2 linked regions of the Sus scrofa genome follow. The protein of the gene in region 2 binds, or shares a complex with, the protein of the main gene of each other region. Links are inferred from orthologs where the notes say so. Each region holds a gene or a part of one and is shown on either strand. Other genes may lie near its edges. The genes, in order: WDR77 and PRMT5.

Region 1 (9,901 bases), on a different chromosome or scaffold from region 2:
GGGTTAATTTCCAAAATTTATAAACAGCTCATACAACTCAGTTTCAAGAATCAGTCTTAAAACACAGGCAGGATCCAAGAAAGACTATAAAGGACAGTGCCTGGGTCCTGTCACTGGAAGCCTGATTAGGAAGTTCCCTGTTGGGACTGGTAATGGTGCTGCTGCCACTGGGCTGTTAGTTGTCATTGCCAGATACCCATTCTTTGAATCTTTGCAGCATTCCCTCCAGATTTAACTCCTGGGTGGGAGTAGCCAAATGGCCAAGGCTAATCTAGTGGCTCAGATCAAATTAAAAAAAAAGAAAAAAACAAAACAAAACAAAAAACCAGTCCCCTTTAAGCATCCATAGTCTTCCCTCCAAAGCACAGCAATGGAATCCATTCCAAAAAGCACATGGAACATGTTACTTCTGAGGTACGTGTTACTTTTGAGATCCTTACTGAGGCTCACAGCATCCACCATGCAGCTGTCACTAGTCTCATCTCCTTTTAATAGTAGCTGCAGTGTCCTCCTTGTCCAGGAAGCTCAAAGCTCCTTCCACACAGCAACTTCCATCTGGAATGCCTCCCTAGCCCCAAACATCAGCCAACCCACATTCAACCCTGAGAGCTCCATTCAAATGTCACTTCGCCACTGCTTCATGACTGGTTATGATCCCTCTGTTTTCTACCAATCTATTTCTTTTGGCTAGCACTGAAACACTAATTTCATCCTCTCTCTCTCTCTTGACTAGGCTGCTGAAGCCTGGGCTGCCATCTTGCTCACTACCACAAACCACACTGCCTGAAAGCTTCTGATACACCACAGCTACTCACTCTTCAATGACTGGTGACTTCCCTGCCTGGTTCCTGAACCACCTAGAATTCTCAAAAGCTAATCGGAGCCAGTGCTTCACAAAATTTAACATGCAGGAGTGACTAGGGAAGTTGTGAAAATATAAATTCTGCCCTTCTAACAAGTTCCAGATGATGTCAATGCTGCTGGTCCATGGACCACGCTTTGAGGAGCAAGTCAACACCTTATAAAATCAACTGATAAACTAGACACAGAGGACAAACACTTCCACTCATAAGAGGCACCTAGACTCGTCACATTCATAGAGCTGAAAGTAGAATGGAGGTTGTCAGAGCCTGGGAGGAGGGAGTTATTGCTTAACCGGCATGAAGTTTCAATTTGGGATAATGGAGTGTGGAAATGATTACATTACAATGTGAGTATACTTAATGCCACTGAATCGTACACTTAAAATAGTTAAAATGGTAAGTTTAAATATTTTGTCATGCCTAAAAAAAAAAAAAAAAAACAGAAAGAGATAACTAAGGCTCAAGTTGATCCTGCCATGAGGAATCTGCCAATAGGAGCCCAGGGATGGCAGGTGCCAAGGTCAGGTAGTGTTAATATTAACTTCCAGGCAAGTTGATTTTGGATAATGATCAGGGGCCTGTACTGATCAGCCAGTTTCTAACCTACTCAGAGGGTTTCTATAAAAGACAAGTTGCTTGTTAAAAGATCTGGCAGAACTTGAAGCTGATTTAGCTTGTACATGTAAAAAACACTTTCTAATCCAAATAAGCTTCATTCCTTTCCACTGTGATCCCAGATGAGATTTATTATTGGAGTAAAAACTTTTAATTTGAAACTGAAGTTCCTATTGCTTATAACATGGTGCCTCCCAAAGTGAAATATTCCAGAATCTGACACCCAGCACCACAGTGATAATGAAATGTCTTTATTCACTGAGGGAACTTTCAACAAGTAGCACTGGCTAGGCTGCCACTATAAAGTTAAAAGGATGGTGTTTAGGGGTTAAACTCTTTATTTACTGATCTTTTGAATTTTGATGATTTATTATACTATACACTGAGGCAGCAGAACATTTACAAGACAAGGAGGGTTTCCAGAATAAGTAGAACTGCATTAAAACTTACCCAGATGATGAAAGATTTTAGGATCAATGATTATATCTTACGTGCCTCTATTACTTACAATGAGTTATTGCTTCCTCTCTTGATCTTTACATCTCCGTCACTCTCTGGATTGTACTAATCCTGTGACCCCGTGATGAGGAAGAAAAACTCCACAACTGCCCATTTTTTGATAGAGAACTCAATAAGAGACTGTTTTGGGTTTAAGATTGGTCTGCTTACTTTCCCAAAATCAAGCTATATAGAAAGCTGATGTTCTCGAAAATTTGAATTCCCTCACAACGCAAATTGTGAAACTAGACTAGAGCTTGCTTATCTTTTTTCCAAAAAAAATCTGTTTCCTGCACGAGTGATTCTTAAGTTCAGTGTGACCCAGAGATATGCAGCTAAGAAACTTGCTATGAACGGAGATCCAATAAGAATTCGCTCAGCTTCTTTCATGTATGCTGGCTTTTCTTTGATGTCCTAAAACTGCCCCGGAATACATAGAAACACTTGGTATATGCCTTAGTGAAAGAAATGCTCATATATTCTGGAACAAATCTTTTTTTCCCATTCTTCTAGTTTGTAGCTAGAGTTGAGTCAAGTGACCACTGAAACACAAAAAAAAATATGAAAGCACATCATTTGTGCTGTCCAAATGCAACAAGAATCTGCCTTTTAAAAGTCAGAGCCCTTTTCTTTTAGGTCTGGATGAGGTAATCACTCTGTAGCTGCGTGATTGAAAAATAAACTGCAGGGACCCTCCCACCTAAATCTTCCCAAGTTCCAGCCCTTTCTATCATGCAGCCTAGAACAAACATGGCTAGAAGCCCAGAGCACTCAGAGCTTGGGTGATTTTGCTGCCAATAGTGCGATTGTAAATCAGCAGGAAATGCTCACGTAGCTGGTAATTAATGACCAGCCTCCTACTGTTCTGCGGGGCAGGAGAGACCCTGGAGAAGCAGCCTGATGTCTGGAGCCACCTGCAACTGCACTTGAGCCAACCTCAGCCTTTGGTGTTCTGAGCACCTGAAATCAGCAGGGGAACATCATGGGTCTGGTTAATGGATTTTAGAGTAAGAACAATGAAGATAGGGAAATGGGTCTACTCCCTGGTGCTCAGACATTGGAACGAGTGAAACTAAATGGAGAATACACGCTTGTATGACTTCAAACAAACCAAAAAAAAAAAAAAAAAAAAAAAAAAGGAGCCCATTTCCACCCGTCACAGGGGAAGTCTGCTCACTCTACTGAAACTACTCTCAAATCAAGGGTCTGTGAATAATCCTACATGTGATGCTACATTTCTGATTATTTGGAGGTCGTCTTTTATCTTGAACCAGCTTTTTTCTCACAAGAGAGATATTTAACCAAAATTGTGATGGTCATTCCTACTGTGACTTCAATTAGTTTTACAAATGTCTTGGTGGCCATCACTAATCGATGTGAATTGCCTTCATCAGCCCAGATCTGAATCCAAACTAACATTTTTTAAATTAAGTAACGTGGTTCTTCAAAAACTTAGGTTTTCCTCCTTCGATGTCACTCTAAGCACCTTGACAGACTAGCACTGGTTTCCTTGAATTCGTCTCTTCTGAGTTTCTCTCCACCATTCTGAAGTCCATGAACAACAGGCCAATGCAGGTTTAATTCCTACTCACCTCACCCCCTACCTCCTTTCTGTAAATGACCACAAATTTTAAGCTTTTGCCTCTGGGAAGTGTTTCTACCAAAGCACCAATTCTTCCCAGGGAGTTAGAGTTAAGAACAGTGAAGCTTCCTTCCTACCTCCCCGCAAACCCAGTAGACAGATCCACTGACTACAAATTGCCCTGTTTTTACTAGAGGGTAACTGTGAGAATAGAGCTCGTGCTCAGCAAGGGTGGAACACAGAAGCTTTACTTACCAATACTTTGCCCATGAAACTGGGGCGGTTTCATGGGATTTTCACTAAATGAAACTTGGAAAGCACAAAAGTACATAGCTGATTGCATTTAGTTTCAATGCAATCAGTAATTGACCCATAACTTCTAAGCGGCAGTAGCCACCAACCAAATAACCAAACGTTTGCCTTAAGTTCCAACTACTCCGTGGGGCTGGGGAAGCACACACAAAAAATAACGGGCTATAGGACTGGTACCCAGATGACACATAAGTGACACAGGTCTAACTGCACATGAGACACACACCTCAAAAGACAGGCCAACAATGAATCAACTTTTTATTTCACTGACCAGTATTTCCGATTCTCTCTCTCTCTTGCTGCATTTAAAATCTTCAGAGTTCCCCAAAATAACATTCAGGCTTCCTAGATCCAGAGGCAGGGACCCAGAGGCAAAAAAGGTCAGGCCCCAGGCTGTTTTCAGGTGGGAAAGTGGCAGACATTCCTATGAAAGTCTGTGTCAGTTTTTAACTGAAGTGCCTTTAAGCTCTCCACCTTCCTGAAACTTTTTCCCATGGCATCTATGACAGAAATACACTCATCTCTCATATACACAACTTCACGGGGGGTGGGCATCACACACTTCTTACTCAGCCAGCAACTGGACTTCGGCTCAGTCTAATGGCAAAGAGATGTGCAAAACCATGTTAAGTGTCCTGGCTCTTCCTCAAGGTGAGCTGGGCCGGACTTCTGTGAATGGAAGCACTGCCCATGACAAAGGCGAATCAAGCTCTATTAAAAAAATAAAGGTGCTCCTATCTCTATGACGAGTCACGAGCTGCTTCCAAGAATCCAGCAATGCCCACAGCCCAGACCTTACCAAGACACAGTCAATTCCTCAAGCATAGCTACATGGGAGGCATAAAAACCTTCTGCCAACTTCTTGTGGGGGGAGGGGGGTTAGATCTTGGGGAAGATGCGGGATGCATTTTTTTTTATTCATCTCTGCTAAAAAAATTATGTTATCTACACATACACTCAGACACATACACACACGTCCATCTTCAAGGAAGTTTTTCTTCTCTGTGACTACAGGACCCCAGATCCAGCCTCCCCCAGGCTGAGAGACAATGCCTATTAACAGATCTGGTGTGTCAACACACTATATAAGGCTCCTGTGTTGTCTCACAAACTGAGTGGGCAGGGGCAGAGGGAGCAGATACTCATGGGGGATTTGCTTGTCTTAAATCCAGTCTACTCGGCAGCACTCTTAAGTCCAGGCTCTGGGAAAGGTTCTGTGGGCAAGATGTGGTGGACGACCTGATGGTCCCAGCCCACTGTCGTAAGAAGGGAGTGATTGAGCGGTGACCAGGTAGCATCTCTCACAAAGTCTCTGTGGGCTCGGCTTCTAAACCTACAAGAGAAAAAAGAAAAGTGTGGGCACGTAAGAGAGACAGGAGGGACCAAGAAACGGACCCGACACCCCAGGGCACGTCCTGTGGATGTGTTACAGTCCAATCCAGGGCCCGATTTTCATAGAAGAAATGAGAGCCAGAGTAAAGGTAATGACACAAGTCAGCATCAGACAGCGGACCACAGCAAAGAAGGAAGTGCAATTCCAATCTCTGCCTGGTGCCTTTCGCCCTACAGCACGCTGCACTGCCTGCGTGTAGCTCTTCACATGAGGAGGGTAGACTGCCCCTTTCTGGGAGACAGCTGGAAGGCCAGACTCGGAAATCCCAACCCCACCACCTTCCCCCACTGCCAGGGACAGAGCTGGTTGTGAGTCAGCCCCGAACAAGGGAGACAGTCAAGCCTGCTTCCATCACCCGGTCCCGTGGAAAGAGACAATACACTTTTCCAAAGAGAAAAAGGACCCAGCCAGCGGCTGCTCCCCGCCCTGCTTCCCGATCACAGGATTCCACGTCACACTTACACCTTGGAGAGGCCCGAGTCCAGCACGGCGAGGGAGCAGTCTTCACTCACAGAAGCCAGGAAGGGAGTGCTAGGAGACAAGGGGGTGGCGGGGGGAGGTAAAGCCCACAGGCCCCAATGCAAAACCTCACTGGCCCCCAGACCCCGACTCTAAAGTGATCGGAGCAGCTGGCCTAACCCCACTTAAGGCTAAGGTCTGGCTACACCTAAGTCTACAGTATACGTTTCAAAGACAGATGAGGAAAAGGGAGCAAAGCCAGGGCTGAGAAGCATCCCAGCAACTAACCTTCTCACTGGGTCCCTCCCCACAGCTTCATCAATAACCCAGAAACAACTTCCAACCACACAGCCCTAGAAGCCCACAATATTAGTCACTGTGGGTGTTGAGCAGGAACAACACCGAATTTCAGCCATTTGCAGTCAGAGACCATACAACCCCCAAAAGGACTGCAGTGTTAAGAGCCCCCTCACTGAGATTCCGAAAGCTCAGCTACAACAGTGCCTGCTTTAAGGAACTACCCAGTCGGCCAGTGCTCCGCCGACACAGGCATCTCCCCTCACTGTTCCCATTTACACCCGCCAGGCCCTCGACGACAAAGAACAGTACCTGTGTGGAGAGAACACCAGCCCGGTGACACTCTGGGAGTGCACAGTTGCGCTGAGGGCACAGCTTGCACTCTTGGTGTCCACAAGGGAGACGGTCCCATTCTCATCGCCTGAAGGAAAGAGGGGGGACATCACAGAGGTAAGAGCATGGGCTTTGGACTCAGCCAGGCCTGGATTTGGATGCTCGTTCCTCAATCTTGGACAAGTTCACCACTCTAAGCATCAATTTCCTCTTTGGTAAAGTAGAAATGATTAGTCATCTAGGGGTTGTGAAAATTAAATTAACAGGGTTAATTATAGTTATTAGGTTATTCGATGACATAGTTGTTAGGTTCCTACAAACTATGCACCTACAGGCACAGCCACGTCGGCACGTCAGCACCACCACCCCCTCCACACAACAGAATCCCCCTGTAACAATCCACTCGCTTTGTGGCCCCTGACTTCCAGCTATGCCAGAACACAAGAGCCACAGCAGACAATCAGGAGTCAAATCTACTAAGAAAAAAATCATCGTGTTCTCCAAAGCTAAACCAAAACCACTTTCGGATCATTCCGCCTCCCCGCCCCCATGAGCACAACTCATCTAGTGCCCAAGTGGGCAGAGTGGGCAGCCAGGGCTCTCTCGCTCATCCTCCCCTTCCCAGAGTCGTCCCACAGTTTCACACGCTGCCTTACCAAAGACAAAGACTTCACTCCGCTGAGGATGCCAAGCCAGCGAGGTAGGCAGGTAGCCAGAGGCCCTGTAGCCTGCAAAGGGGAGAAGAAGGGTCTGAGACAAAGCTGCTCGGGTGAAGTCACTCTAAATCCCGGCGGCACCCTATTCGGTATCGTGAGTCCTGCCAGGGCCGTCTGTTCTCCTCCTTGACCCTCACAACCTGCACCTCCCCATCAGCCTCCTGCCCCTGCCAGACATGAGTCACGGGCAAGTTTCAATGATAAAGCAGGAAGAGAACAACTCTGGCCCCTTCGTTCCCTCATCCAGGCAACATAAGGTACATCGCCCACCTAGGAACCAGCCCTTCCTTGTGGGACCCACGGCATCAACTGGCTCAACAGAGCTGCAGTGGGTAGGAGAGCAATTATGCCATTGGGTCAGTGACTGGGCCGCCTTCGCCCTTGACTCTGGCCCAGGAAAGCCTCTTCCAGGTGGGCTCCTGGGAGAACTCGGTCCTTGTTCACTCTCCCACCACCGGCTCTCAGACTCACCTATCTGTGACGCTGGCTTGGGACAGCGAGTATCCCAAAGTAAAATTCTATTGTCCTAGAAGAAAAAGGGACAGAAAAAGGGCTTCACGATCCAAGGAAGCAGCCGCTCGCCGGAAGCCCTCCACACCTGACTGAGGTCCACAGGGTCTGGGTGCGCTTAGGGGGCGGGAAGGGGAAAAGAGGCTTTAGCTCACCTCACTGCAGGAGAGAAACACGGAGTCTTTGTGGGGAGAGGCAGCAACACAGGTGACCTGCCCAGAGTGAGCTGCAGAGGAGAGAGAACAAGAAATACGACGGAGAAATGGAGGCAGTCCAGACACTATCAAGGGGTAGGAGGGAGGCTGTGAGAAACAAGCCTAGTCGTGTGATGCCATGTAACAAATTCCGTGAGCGTTTGGGATAAGACAAAACCTAAGAGGAAATGTTGATAGCATTATAAAACCTCAAAAGGCTTCGGGAAAAATGAATCACTACAGACATGAAAGATAAATTAAAGGCTGGGTAAAAACAGTAGGGGAACTTACAGCAAGGACCGTGGAAGAGCAGAGGCCTATGTGCCTCCAGGCGCATACGAAGACTTCTGAGGGAGCTCTGGACACCGAGAGTTTAGAGGGAATGGCTCCAAGGCTCTCTCTCCACATTGAACTGAGACACTATGTAGAGGCTGCCAGCACTGCTCACCTCTGCCCTCAGTCACCCGTCTCCCACCGTGCGAAGGAAACACGCACCTCTCACCCGCCCCAAGCCCACCATGCTACGATGCTCAGGAGTCTAGAAACCTAAGGTAGAAAACAAAAGGGGCTTGCCCGAAGAGCTGACCAAAAAAGAAAGGGCATCTGGGTAAAATTCGGTGGGGGAAGCTGGCCTTTCTCATCCCCATCACAAATCCTAGAGTGGTTCTGTGGCTTATCTCTTCTGTTTAATAATGAGAATTTTGAAAAATATGGCATGTGGTCACATAAAGACACCTAACAGGTCCATACGAATTTAAAAACGAAGTGTCAGATTTTTCAAGAAAAGTGCTCAAGTCTCACTTGGCCAACTTTAACACACAGTTGGTTTTTGGCAGTTAGGTTATTTGGTAGATTTTTTACATAAATCAAATGAGCTTAATCTGAAAATCCAAAATTCTGACAAACATATTTTGAAAAAGTGTACCGTAAATGGCACGGCTAGATACAACTTTCTTTGCGATGAGCTCAATTTAAACTAGAAACCACTTTAAAAACATGTGAAAGGGTACAGTTTTTCAAGACTCCCTTAGGGCTACAGGCTAAAAATGTTCAAGGTCAATGCTAAGTGTTAATTAAAGGCTGTGGAAACCACCTTCTCTAAAGCAACTAACCAGACTTTCTGAGATAGTCTGAATGTGGTTCCGCCCAGGTACGGAAGAGGGGGGCCTCAAACCATCCTCCAGAGAATCCATGCAAAAGCAACATGATGAAAAGCAACATACTGCTCCTTAAAAACAGCAAAGTTTTGGGACAAACGCAATGGGAAAGTACAAAGATGAAAAGATATGTGGTTCCTCTGCCCTGGAGGGATTTGGAATCAGCGCAAGAGAGTAAGAACAAACACAAAGAACTAAAGAAAAAGGCTAAAGGTGGCAGGCAATGAAAAAGTTCCTTAGCACTGACCAGGAAAACACGCTGTACATCTAGAAAACACAAAGTAAGTATGTCAGACTTTGAGCACTGACATTCGAACATTATTGTCTAAATATATGCTCTGAAGCTCCAAGAGACGGATGAGTTTGTGATTTTGCTCCCAACATATCTGAATCATGCACTTAGCAGTGAGAACTGGCAAAGAAAGGCACTTAGCCATTGAGGGAACCAGTGATCAATCACCCCATCTACATCACTTAGCCACACACACATTAATGCTCTAGATACTATCTTCAGTAGGAATTCCTGTCATGACTCAGCAGCAGTGAACCTGACTAGTAACCAGGAAGAAGCGGGTTCAACCCCTGGCCTCGCTCAGTGGGTTAAAGATCCGGCATTGCTTCAAGCCACAGCGTAGGTCACAGATGCAGCTCGGATCTGGCGTTGCTGATGATTCGACCCTGAGCCTGGGAACTTCCATACGCTGTGGGTGTGACCCTAAAAAGACCAAAAAAAAAAAAAAAAGATTTGGTATCTTCATGAAGATGGCTCTCAAAATAAAATCAACTGCCAGTGCTATTCATTAAGGTGAGCAGAAAAAGAAACATAAGGGATGGTTCTCACCAAAAAAAAAAAAAAAAAAAAAAAAGAGAGAGAGAAAGAGAGATTTTATGGAGGTGAATATTCAAAAGTTCAAGATTCACAAGCATCAGAGTTTATGCTTGGGGAATGTCAAAGATCTACTGTGACTGGGT
Region 2 (10,907 bases):
TGAAGAAGCAATTTGGAGCAGTAGGAGGGTCAAACGGGCCATTATTTTGGTGTTGAAGAGTGCGGCTGGCTGGGCAGGCACAGAGGTGAGTGAAGGTGATGCTGGGGAGGGAGGCAAGTGCTGAGGGAGGAGGGGAGCCCAAGAAAAGGTGAAAGGAGGGTTTAAAATGGACTGGCAGTGTTGAAACAAGGACATACAACCAGGAGCAGGTAGAACAACTGGGTCTGAAGGTGAGGAATGCTGGGTGTGGGTACTCCTTTCCTTCCAGAAAAGTTTCCAATGCTCCGCCCTGTTGGTCACCAGCTTTTGTTGGAGAAAATAACATTATTTCTTACCCATCATCTCCCTGTCTTCATCTCAGCAAAGGCCTGCATTCTATAATATAACAGTGATGGACATACTTTGGAGCACAAGAGTTCAGCATGAAGAGCAGAGCGGAGAGAAACAGAGCATAAGACAGACTCTACCGACTCTGGCTTTATGTCTAGGGCTAAGTCCTACAACAGGTTCTTTATTTCTTTTTCAGTCCTTCCCTCTGCTCGTCTGTAGCTCATATAGACAGACCCACAGTCCATGCTGTTCTTTAAGGCAAAGGAACATGCAATAGGACAGGTAGGGTGTGATGTGGTATGGAATTTCTCTGTTCAGCATCACGCTTGCCACACAGCGGAGGCAATTTTGAATGAAAAAACAAAGACATCCCAGACAAATGAAATTCAGCCCATCCAAACTTATTTTAAAGTCAGTTAGAAATTCTAGGCTCTTTTTACACAAATTCTTTTGAAAATTATTTTACTGATGGCAAAACTGACATTACCATTTCATAGATTTTCTTCTCTCCCTTTCATCCATGGATGGGTTAGTTAACAACCAACAGAGCAGCCACCAGCTTGACATTAGGAGGAAGATGCCAGGAGCACAGATGGTCCACAGCCCAGATAATTAGCTTCTGAAGACGAAACAACATCTAATAAGTCTTCTGTGAATGTGGAGTTTGGTTGGGCACAGTTGGGGGAGAGAAAAAGCAGGCCTGCCCAACAACTCTTTTTCTTCTTAAAATGTCAGAAGAGCACTCACCCACTTCCTGTTAAGTCCCTACTCATGAGACCTGCAGGGAAGAATTCAAATAAATATCGTAGACATTCCACCTCAAAGGAGGGGAAGAATAACTCCGCACTCCTTACGTGTGGAATGCACATAATGACTTCCAAAGAGTACAGGATGGAAAGGGGGAAGGCATGTAATTTTCCACTGGAGAGAACTGATAAACACTAGTTCTACCAGGTGATAAAGGTCAACATCAATAGTCATAAATCATGTTGATGGTATGTATTCTTGATATGACATGATGAAAATGGCACTTGAGCTCTGTGATCTTCCTCTCCCAAAACCATAACCTGAGTCTGATCATGAGAAAACCATCAGACAAATTCCAATAGAGGGCTGTCTTGCAGTAAACCTGACCAATACTACTCAAAACAATTAAGGTTGTCAAAAACAAGGAACATTTGGCAGTTCCTGCTGTGGCACATCAGAAACAAATCCAACTAGTATCCATGAGGATGCATGTTCAAACCCTAGCCTTGCCCACTGGGTTGGGGATTTGCCGTTGCCCTGAGCTGTGGTGTAGGATGCAGCTGGGGTTCAGATCCCGTGTTGCTGAGGCTGTGGCGTAGGCCAGCAGCTGTAGCTTCGATTCATCCCCTAGCCTGGGAGCTCCCATATGCCATGGGTGCGCTCCTAAAAAGCAAAAAACAAGGAACATTTGAGAAACTGTCATAGCCAAGAGGAGCCTAAGCAGACATGAGCAGATATGACAACTATATGTAACATGGTACCCTGGATGGGATCATGGAACAGAAAGAAGACATTAGGTAAAAATTAGGGAAATCTGAATAAACTATGGACTTCAGTTAATAATTATCAATAATAACATATCAAGAGTTCCCTGGTGGCTCAGCAGGTAAATGTACCATATTAACGTTAAGATGTTAATAATAGAGAAAGATGGGGGGGTGGAATGTGAGAACTCCTGTACTATCTCTGCAATTTTTCTGCAAATCTAAAACTTTTAAGAAAAAGTCTAGGAGGTGCCACTGTGGTACAGTGGGTTAAGAATCCAACTGCAGCGGTTCTGGTCACTTCAGAGGCATGGGCTGGATACCTGGCCTGGGAGGGAACTTCCATATACCTTTTTTTTTTTTTTTTTTTCCCATTAAAAAAGGAAAGAAAAAAAAGACAAATTCTAGTAATAGTAAGATGAGACACAAGCACCTCCAACTCTTTTAGGCTTCATAGGCATTTTCGTAGTTCTCTGACTTTCTGACTTTCATCCTTTTGGGGCGCTTACAATGTATTCCCTTATAGCTTAGCCTATCCACACACATTCCGTGTTTCTCAGGACTCTGTCGTCCACTGCGGCGATCTCATTCGGTCTCCTGGCTTCAGTCACTATCTCTCTTCTGGCGATTTGCAAATCTTGTCTGGTTCAGATCACTGTTCATACAACTCTCTATTACACAGCGCCCCCTAGACGTCCAAGTCAGCATTTCCAAACCCCAGCCTCGATTCTCCCTAAACCAGCTTTTATCATTTGTCTCGCTCAAAGAGGCCAGAACTCTGGGCATCACCCCCAGACTTCCCTTTCTCAGACTCCCTGTCAGTCGGTCTCTAAATTCTGTCAAGGCCTCCTGCCTAGGGCCTTTTGTATTGATTCTCTTTTCCGTTCCCCGCTGCCAAGTCCGCAACACCTCTGGGCTTCCTGCCTTCAGGTATTTCTCCTGCCTAGATCTTTTTTTGCTTCATTCCTTTCCTTCTTTTCCATCCCTCTAGCAAGCATGGAAAAGAAAAATGTAGAGACTCTTTCCTGTCTCTGCCAGTCAATTCATAACTTCTCTCCACTGTAATCTCTCACCATGAATTCCTTTATCTTCAGTGGTGTGTGTGTTTCAGTGTTTGCTTTTTGTATTTGAGATACCGAATCACAAGGAATTTGTGGCTGAATTGCCACAATCTGTTTAAAAATATACTAAGGCCCATTCAAAATCCATTTTAAGAGCACCAGCCATTAACTCAGTTTTCTTGGTGCATTTGGATGCACCAAGGCAGGGACACAAGAACCATCTTTGAACTAGGTATTATTAAACGCTGGCATGAAATAGTTGCAGAATGCAATAACATTAAGACCTGAAAATGAGAGCGAGAGAGGACAGCGAAGAAATTTTAAAAGGGGGCATTAAAGCATTGCAGGGGATGCACCAAAAGCGTTAGCCCCACCGAGCCAGCCAGGAGTCGAACCTGGAATCTTCTGATCCGTAGTCAGACGCGTTATCCATTGCGCCACTGGCCCTGAGACGACTTCTTCGTTCTCAATGATGACACTTCAAGCTTATACTGCAGGGTTTCATGGGACGTGTAGTCTCTTACCGGAATTTTACCAGTACATGAAGCATTATGGGAGATCGAAGTTTGTCGAGAACCAGACCCTGAGATTGGTGACTCTTCCGGAGCCGTGCCCTACGTCACTGTGCAGCCTGCGGATTGGCAGGAAGAGCCACTTCCCACCCCTCCTCCACTTGCTCGGGACCCTGGGAGACGCTTTGGTTGTCAGGGAGACTCGTCCCGCCTTCCGGGGGCTTTTTTTCGGCTTTGTGATTGGCTGCCAGTGTCAGGGAATCTCGGCGTGGACTGCGCGAGGGAAAAGATGGCGGCGATGGCGGTCGGCGGTGCCGGTGGAAGCCGCGTGTCCAGCGGGAGGGACCTGAATTGCGTCCCCGAAATAGCTGACACACTGGGGGCTGTGGCCAAGCAGGGGTGAGGGCCTGGACTTCCGCGAACAGAATGCGGGGTCGGAACTCGGGGACTGAGAGGGGCAGACCAGTCATCCCTGGGAAGCAGGGGTGAGGGGGTCGGAGTGGATAAGATTAGGGTGGGAGAAACCGCTAGTCCATGTAGGGAGAAGCCTCCGGCCCTGGAGCGTAAGAGAAAGAGAAAGAAAGACATATTGGGAACGTGTGGTCCCTGAACCCCAAAGTCGAGAGAGTTATCAGGTAAACTCAAAAAGAGGGCGTACGACCTCAAGGGCCCTGGAGAGCGAGGTGCGAGGTTCTTGTCTCAGAGTGGGAGGAAGTGTTATGGGGCTAGGGAGAGGAGAGATGAACCTTGAGGGCTGAAGCCTGGGTAGTACTGGAGCAGATCTGGATATGACAGTCTTGGAAAATCAGTGACAACAGAGTAGAAAGTCCACGTGGCGTGGATTTTCATCTTTTCTCTTTTCTCATCTTTTCCATGGCTCTGTTCTGGGAAGAAATTGAGGCACAACGCAGTGGAAGTGATATTCCCTAAAATGGGCCGAATTCAGCAGCCCATTCGAGTGACTGACTAATGGCAGCTGAAAGGGTTGTGCAGAATGGAGATAGCCTAGTCCAATTGCTTGGATCGCTGGGCACTGCTACTCTCTTTACATGACGATTCTGGGTCTGTCGTGGTTGTAGGTTTGATTTCCTCTGCATGCCTGTCTTCCACCCGCGTTTCAAGAGGGAGTTCACTCAGGAACCTGCTAAGAATCGGCCGGGTCCCCAGACACGATCAGACCTACTGCTGTCAGGAAGGGGTAGGGACCATCCCACATGCCCCTTAATTATTAGAGGCAGTAACAACTTATGTTTTATCAGTGCCTTCTTCCTCTTCCTTTCTTGACCTGGATGTATTTGTTCAACCCTGGGATATGGATAACTCTTGTTCTCTCCTTGCTTACTGCTCAAAGCCTTAGTTTCCTATTCTGCATCAGGCTTTCCTGTATCTGTGATAGAAAAAGCCTTTTGTCTCTCATCTCTACTATTCCCTGTTAAGAAATAGAAATTGAATGCATAAAGTGCTGAACCTCACTCAGTCTTTGTCTTTCTTGGGTTGGGGAGTGCAGACTGGAATACACTAATTGTGGGCAAGCTTTCCCCATGGATTCGTCCAGACTCAAAAGTGGAGAAGATCCGCAGGAACTCTGAGGCGGTAAGACTGACATCTTCACCGAATCTTTCTAAAGATCAGATCTGTAAACAACCTGGATGGGGAGAACAGATTTTTCCCCTCCATAACTTAGTAAATCTGATGTAATGCACTTAAAGCTGTTTGAGGAGTTCCCCTTGTGGCTTAGTGGTTAATGAATCAAACTAGCATCCAGTGGGGGAAAAAACTGTAACTGCAATGTATACATCTAAGGATGACCTGACCCCCTTGCTGTACAGTGGGAAAATAAAAAAAAAAAAAAAAAAAAAAAACTAGCATCCATGAGGATGAGGACAAGGGTTCAGTCCCTGGCCTTGCTCAGCGGGTTAAGGATCCGGCATTGCCGTGAGCTGTGGTGTAGGTTGCAGACATGGCTCAGGTCCTGAGTTGCTGTGGCTGTGGCGTAGGCCGGCGGCTTCAGCTCTGATTGGACCCCCAGCCTGGAAACCTCCATATGCCGTGGGTGCAGCCCTAAAGAGACAAAAAAAAAAAAAAAAAAAAGGTTGTTTGAGTTGCTAGCTCTTAACTTTGCCTCTTGTTCTCCATTCTAGGCTATGTTACAGGAGCTGAATTTTGGGGCCTATTTGGGTCTTCCAGCTTTCCTGCTGCCCCTAAATCAGGAAGATAACACAAACTTGGCAAGAGTTTTGACTAATCACATCCACACTGGCCACCACTCCTCCATGGTATGGCTGAGGGCCTCCTTTCCTGCTGCACATTATGGTAGTCAGGCTGTGCTAAATATCTTCTTTTCCTAGCCATTCAGTAAAGGGTGCATTAGGCAGAATTTAAATGTCAGTCCTGCCTACCCACAACTAAAAGTGGTAAGCAGAGACTTATAAAATACATAGCATATTCTATTATCTCCAGAAACTTATAATAAAGTAAAAGACAGGGCAGATACTTACATAAGGATGTACACGAGATACGTGTGCACATACATAAAATCACAATTGGGAAAAGCATGTAAGGGGATTAAGTTGAAATCTAGATCAAGATCTTTTTATTTATTTATGTTTAAGCTTTTTTTTTTGTCTTTTCAGGGCTGCACCTGTGGCACATGGAGGTTCCCAGGCTAGGAGTCAAATCAGAGCTGTAGCTGCCGGCCTACACCATAGCCACAGCAACGCCACATCTGAGCCGTGTCTGCGACCTACACCACAGCTCATGGCAACATCAGGTCCTTAACCCACTGAGGGAGGCCAGGGATCAAACCCACAATCTTAGCTCTTAGTGGTTCTTAGTCGGATTCGTTTCCCCTGTGCCATGACAGGAACTCCTGGATCAAGATCTTTTTAATTGAAAGAAGCTTCTGGACCCAATGAGTTCAAAATAGAGTTCTAAATAGGGCAGAGAGGTGTTTTCTTGTGGCGCAGTGGGTTAAGAATCTGGTGTTGTCGCTGTTGCGGCTTGGGTTATTGCTGTGGTGGGGTTTGATCCCCAGCCTGGACACTTCCACATGCCAAGGGCACGGCCAAAAATAAATTAATTAATTAATTAAGGTACAGAAGCTATTTATTGTTCATGTGCAGTTCTGGATGCGGGTGCCATTGGTGGCACCAGAGGACCTAAGAGATGATATAATCGAGAATGCACCAGCATCACACACAGAGGAGTACAGCGGAGAGGAGAAGACGTGGATGTGGTATGTCTCCTTCTGCTGCTGTGCCAGGGCAAAGGGTAGGGTGAGAGGAAGTACAGGGTGGGCCCTGCAGGAGGGTCTCCTTGAGGTATGGTGGTTGGTGGGCTATATATATTTGACTGTATTTTCCTGTGTTTGACTGAACAGGTGGCACAACTTCCGAACCTTGTGTGACTATAGCAAAAGGATTGCGGTGGGTAAGTCCATGAAGGTCCTGGCATAGGTTGTCCTTTGACCTTCTGTGATGAAGAATCGGGAATTTCGTGTATATGTGCTTGCTCCTTTCCCTGTGCCTCAGTCTGCCTTGTCTTGAGAAAAATAGATCTTGCACAAAAGAGCAAGGAGAGACTTCTGGCTTATCAGTGACTGACAGATATTTTCCCTTGTGTAGCTCTTGAAATTGGTGCTGACCTTCCATCTAATCATGTCATTGATCGTTGGCTTGGGGAGCCCATCAAAGCAGCCATTCTCCCCACCAGCATTTTCCTGACCAATAAGAAGGGATTTCCTGTTCTTTCTAAGATGCATCAGAGGCTGATCTTCCGACTCCTCAAGGTGTGTAGTAGAAAGGTTCTAAACGTGCTCCAGCTACTCTTCTTGCTGCCTTATTCACACATATATGTATGATGGATTTTTTTTTTTTTCTCTCTCTGTGGGGCTAACTCTTTTCCTTTCTAATTTCTGGAGAGCAATTTCAGCAAAGTTGGGGGTCTTGAGAGCAAAAAGACAAATAGCAGTAGGAGGCCCAGAAATATTTCAAAAGGAACCAGGTCTCATGAGAACTTTGCAGAAAGTTTCATTTAAGAAGTTACAACAAGGAGCCATGGGCCAGGATGATGCTTATGTGGCATAGGAGGGTTTGTGCTGCTTTTGTTGTTATTTGGAGGTATTTGTTGGACCAGAGAACTGCTGATCTGGGCCATATTTTATGCTAGAGCTCTTCGCCCACAAACCATAATAATATCCTCTTGGTTTAAAGATTGTGTCTGATGGTCTGACTTATCCTCGCAGTTGGAGGTGCAGTTCATCATTACAGGCACCAACCACCACTCAGAGAAGGAGTTCTGCTCCTACCTCCAATACTTAGAATACTTGAGCCAGAACCGACCTCCACCCAATGCCTACGAACTCTTTGCCAAGGGCTATGAAGACTACCTGCAGTCCCCACTCCAGGTGGGTCTGGAGTGCACTGAGAGGAGGGAGGTGGCGGACGGAAATGTCTCCTGAGAGCAGGTGCCTGAAAATCCTGACAAAGCTCAGGGAGCAGTGGGAAGGCTTTGGTACTCTGGTGCACTGTCCTTGCTAGAAACTGGCTCACTTACTTTCTCTTTTTCATTTCATCAGCCACTGATGGATAATCTGGAATCTCAAACATATGAAGTGTTTGAAAAGGACCCCATCAAATACTCTCAATACCAGCAGGTATAGTGTGGATCTCAGATTGGCTAGGATGACCTGGGTGAGGATGGCATTACAACCATGAGGTCTTTTCTCTTCCCCCAGGCCATCTATAAATGTCTATTAGACCGAGTGCCAGAGGAGGAGAAGGACACCAACGTCCAGTGAGTGCTCTCCCCATGAGCCCAGAGCTTTGCATGCCTGTGTCTCTATATGCCGAGTCAGCTTGACTCCTGTCTCTTTCATAGAGTGCTCATGGTGCTGGGAGCGGGCCGGGGGCCCCTGGTGAATGCCTCCCTGCGGGCAGCCAAGCAGGCTGACCGGCGGATAAAGCTGTACGCTGTGGAGAAGAACCCAAATGCTGTGGTGACGTGAGTAGCAACCTCCTTGTTGGCAAGTTTGTCCCCAGTGCCAGTTTTTCTTAGCTGTGTCCTCACTTGTATCATCTCTGTTTTAGGCTGGAGAATTGGCAGTTTGAAGAATGGGGAAGCCAGGTGACAGTAGTCTCCTCGGACATGCGGGAATGGGTGGCTCCAGAGAAAGCAGATATCATTGTCAGTGAGCTTCTGGGGTCCTTCGCTGACAATGAGCTGTCACCCGAGTGCCTGGATGGAGCCCAGCACTTCTTAAAAGGTGCCTCTAGGCTGGGGTGTATTGCATAAGGGGACTGGATTATCAGCTGGGAAGGTGGGAGCGGGTTGGGGAGGGATGGGTGTGGCAGTAGCCTAGAGGAAGCTGCAAGGTTTAGGGGAAGCGGGGAAGGCGGGTAGACTTGGGGCAGGAGCCTTAGCAAATGAAGCAGTCTCTCTGAACCTAGGTGTTCACGTCTGTAAGATGAGGGGAGGACCAGAGCAAAGACTCAATCTGAGGTCTGTGAACTCCCTGAGCTGACATGATATGTACCTTGGGCTTAGCTTTCATCAGGATCTCAGAGGACTTTGTATTAAGAGAGTTAAGAACCTCTAGACTAGAAGACCTTGGGTTCCTTCCAACTTTACTCTTGTGTGACTATAAATTAACCTAGAAGTGGAATCCCCCAGGACAAGGAGTAGGGAGCAGGTCGGCCTGAGAATGTGACAACACGAAACTGCTTGAGTCTTTTGATGTGGGAGGTCTGGGCCTTCACTGAGTACAGATACACTGTTTCTAGCCCTTGGGAAGTAATGTGACCTTCTGCTCTGCAGATGATGGCGTGAGCATCCCTGGGGAATACACCTCCTTTCTAGCTCCCATCTCCTCCTCCAAGTTGTACAATGAGGTTCGAGCCTGTCGGGAAAAAGACCGTGACCCTGAGGTGAGGCCACTCTCTTCTTCTTCTTCTTCTTTTTTTTTTTTTTGGCCATACCTGCGGCATGCAGAAGTTTTCAGGCCAGGGATCAAAACGAAGCCACAGCGGTGACATTGCTAGATCCTTAATCCACTGAGCCAACAGGGAGCCATTCTCTCTTGGAGGACTCTTCTCTCTTTAGTCCCTTTCTTTTTCTATATTAGCATAACTGTTTTCTTCCACTGGAGAAGATGAAGAGGTGAAGGAATAGTCGGGGATGTGGGAAAATAGTGGAAGTGGAACTATGTTGTGATCTTTAGTCCCCGAAGCTGGAGCTGTAGTCCCTGAGGTAATGAGTAGCCCTTGCCTGTCTTCTCCAGCTCTTGCTCTCTCTCTTGGGACAGGCCCAGTTTGAGATGCCTTATGTGGTACGGCTGCACAACTTCCACCAGCTCTCTGCTCCCCAGCCCTGTTTTACCTTCAGCCACCCCAACAGAGGTGGGTTCCTACATGGCTGTCCTCTGATGGGAAGGGTGAGAGGTTGCCCTCCTGGTTTCTTCCCTTGCTGTCCTGGGTCTGCTCTATCCGGCCTCTATCTAGGCTTCCTTTCCTGATCCTGCTCATGCTTTACCGAGAGGTCTATGGCATCTGGCCCCTCTTCACCCACACAGCTCTTCCCTGACAGATCCTATGGTTGACAACAACCGGTACTGCACCTTGGAGTTTCCTGTGGAGGTGAACACAGTGCTGCATGGCTTTGCAGGCTACTTTGAGACGGTGCTTTATCAGGACATCACTCTGAGTGAGTGTCTAGGGCAGTGGATGGGGTATAAGGGTATGCTACCTGGGCAGCTTATGTACATGTTTCTTTAAGAGTAATAGGAATCAGTGAATGGGGATCTTTGATTATTTGTTCTGTGTTCACAGAAGACACTTCTCAGCCAAGGCAAAAAGCAGAGTCACAGAGATCTCAATTTTTAAAATGACTTTGTCCACTTAGGTATCCGTCCAGAGACTCACTCCCCTGGGATGTTCTCATGGTTTCCCATCCTCTTCCCCATTAAGGTAAGAATCACTTTTAAGGCTCCTTGGTTAAAGGGTAACTGCTGTCTTTGGTGTTTTGCCTCTTCCTTTCTGCCAGAACGATGCTTGACCATGACCCTTGTTCTGTTGCTCTCGTGCTCTTGGATCCTGTTGCAGATGTTGGGCTATCTGCAATGGCCTTCCACCTGGCTTTCCCACATCTGCTCTGGCTATTCTTCTCTCTGTTCTCCACCTCAGGAAAGAGTCAGTCTTTTTAAAAAAGTGAATCAGATCATATCTGTCTCCTTTTTTTTCTTTTGTCTTTTTGCCTTTTCTAGGGCCACTCCTGCAGCATATGGAGATTCCCAGGCTAGGAGTCTAATTGGAGCTGTAGCCGCTGGCCTACACCAGAGCCACAGCAACGTGGGATCTGAGCCGCGTCTGTAACCCATACCACAGCTCATGGCAACACCGGATCCTTAACCCACTGAGCAAGGCCAGGGATCGAACGTGCAACCTCATGGTTCCTAGTTGGATTCGTTAACTACTGTGCCACTACGGGAACTCCATCTG

The links.
Region 1: PRMT5 (region 2) and WDR77 share a complex: the UniProt entries of both Homo sapiens proteins name them as parts of the methylosome complex. The link is inferred for Sus scrofa from reciprocal best matches to the Homo sapiens genes PRMT5 and WDR77.

Annotation. Positions count from the first base shown.
Region 1 is NC_010446.5:108,909,797-108,919,697, reverse strand, and holds the end of WDR77 (methylosome protein 50), read right to left. Parts: intron 7,805-9,901; coding exon 7,734-7,804; intron 7,595-7,733; coding exon 7,540-7,594; intron 7,081-7,539; coding exon 7,009-7,080; intron 6,441-7,008; coding exon 6,332-6,440; intron 5,795-6,331; coding exon 5,726-5,794; intron 5,204-5,725; coding exon 5,044-5,203; coding exon of another isoform or gene 5,013-5,043; 3' UTR 4,104-5,012; downstream 1-4,103. UniProt on the Homo sapiens protein: Non-catalytic component of the methylosome complex, composed of PRMT5, WDR77 and CLNS1A, which modifies specific arginines to dimethylarginines in several spliceosomal Sm proteins and histones.
Region 2 is NC_010449.5:76,107,307-76,118,213, forward strand, and holds the start of PRMT5 (protein arginine N-methyltransferase 5), read left to right. Parts: upstream 1-3,698; 5' UTR 3,699-3,703; coding exon 3,704-3,813; exon of another isoform or gene 3,814-4,049; intron 4,050-4,493; coding exon 4,494-4,612; intron 4,613-4,921; coding exon 4,922-5,007; intron 5,008-5,555; coding exon 5,556-5,690; intron 5,691-6,536; coding exon 6,537-6,649; intron 6,650-6,793; coding exon 6,794-6,843; intron 6,844-7,037; coding exon 7,038-7,201; intron 7,202-7,657; coding exon 7,658-7,819; intron 7,820-7,990; coding exon 7,991-8,068; intron 8,069-8,149; coding exon 8,150-8,208; intron 8,209-8,292; coding exon 8,293-8,415; intron 8,416-8,501; coding exon 8,502-8,677; intron 8,678-9,228; coding exon 9,229-9,338; intron 9,339-9,715; coding exon 9,716-9,809; intron 9,810-9,996; coding exon 9,997-10,113; intron 10,114-10,311; coding exon 10,312-10,376; intron 10,377-10,907. UniProt on the Homo sapiens protein: Arginine methyltransferase that can both catalyze the formation of omega-N monomethylarginine (MMA) and symmetrical dimethylarginine (sDMA), with a preference for the formation of MMA.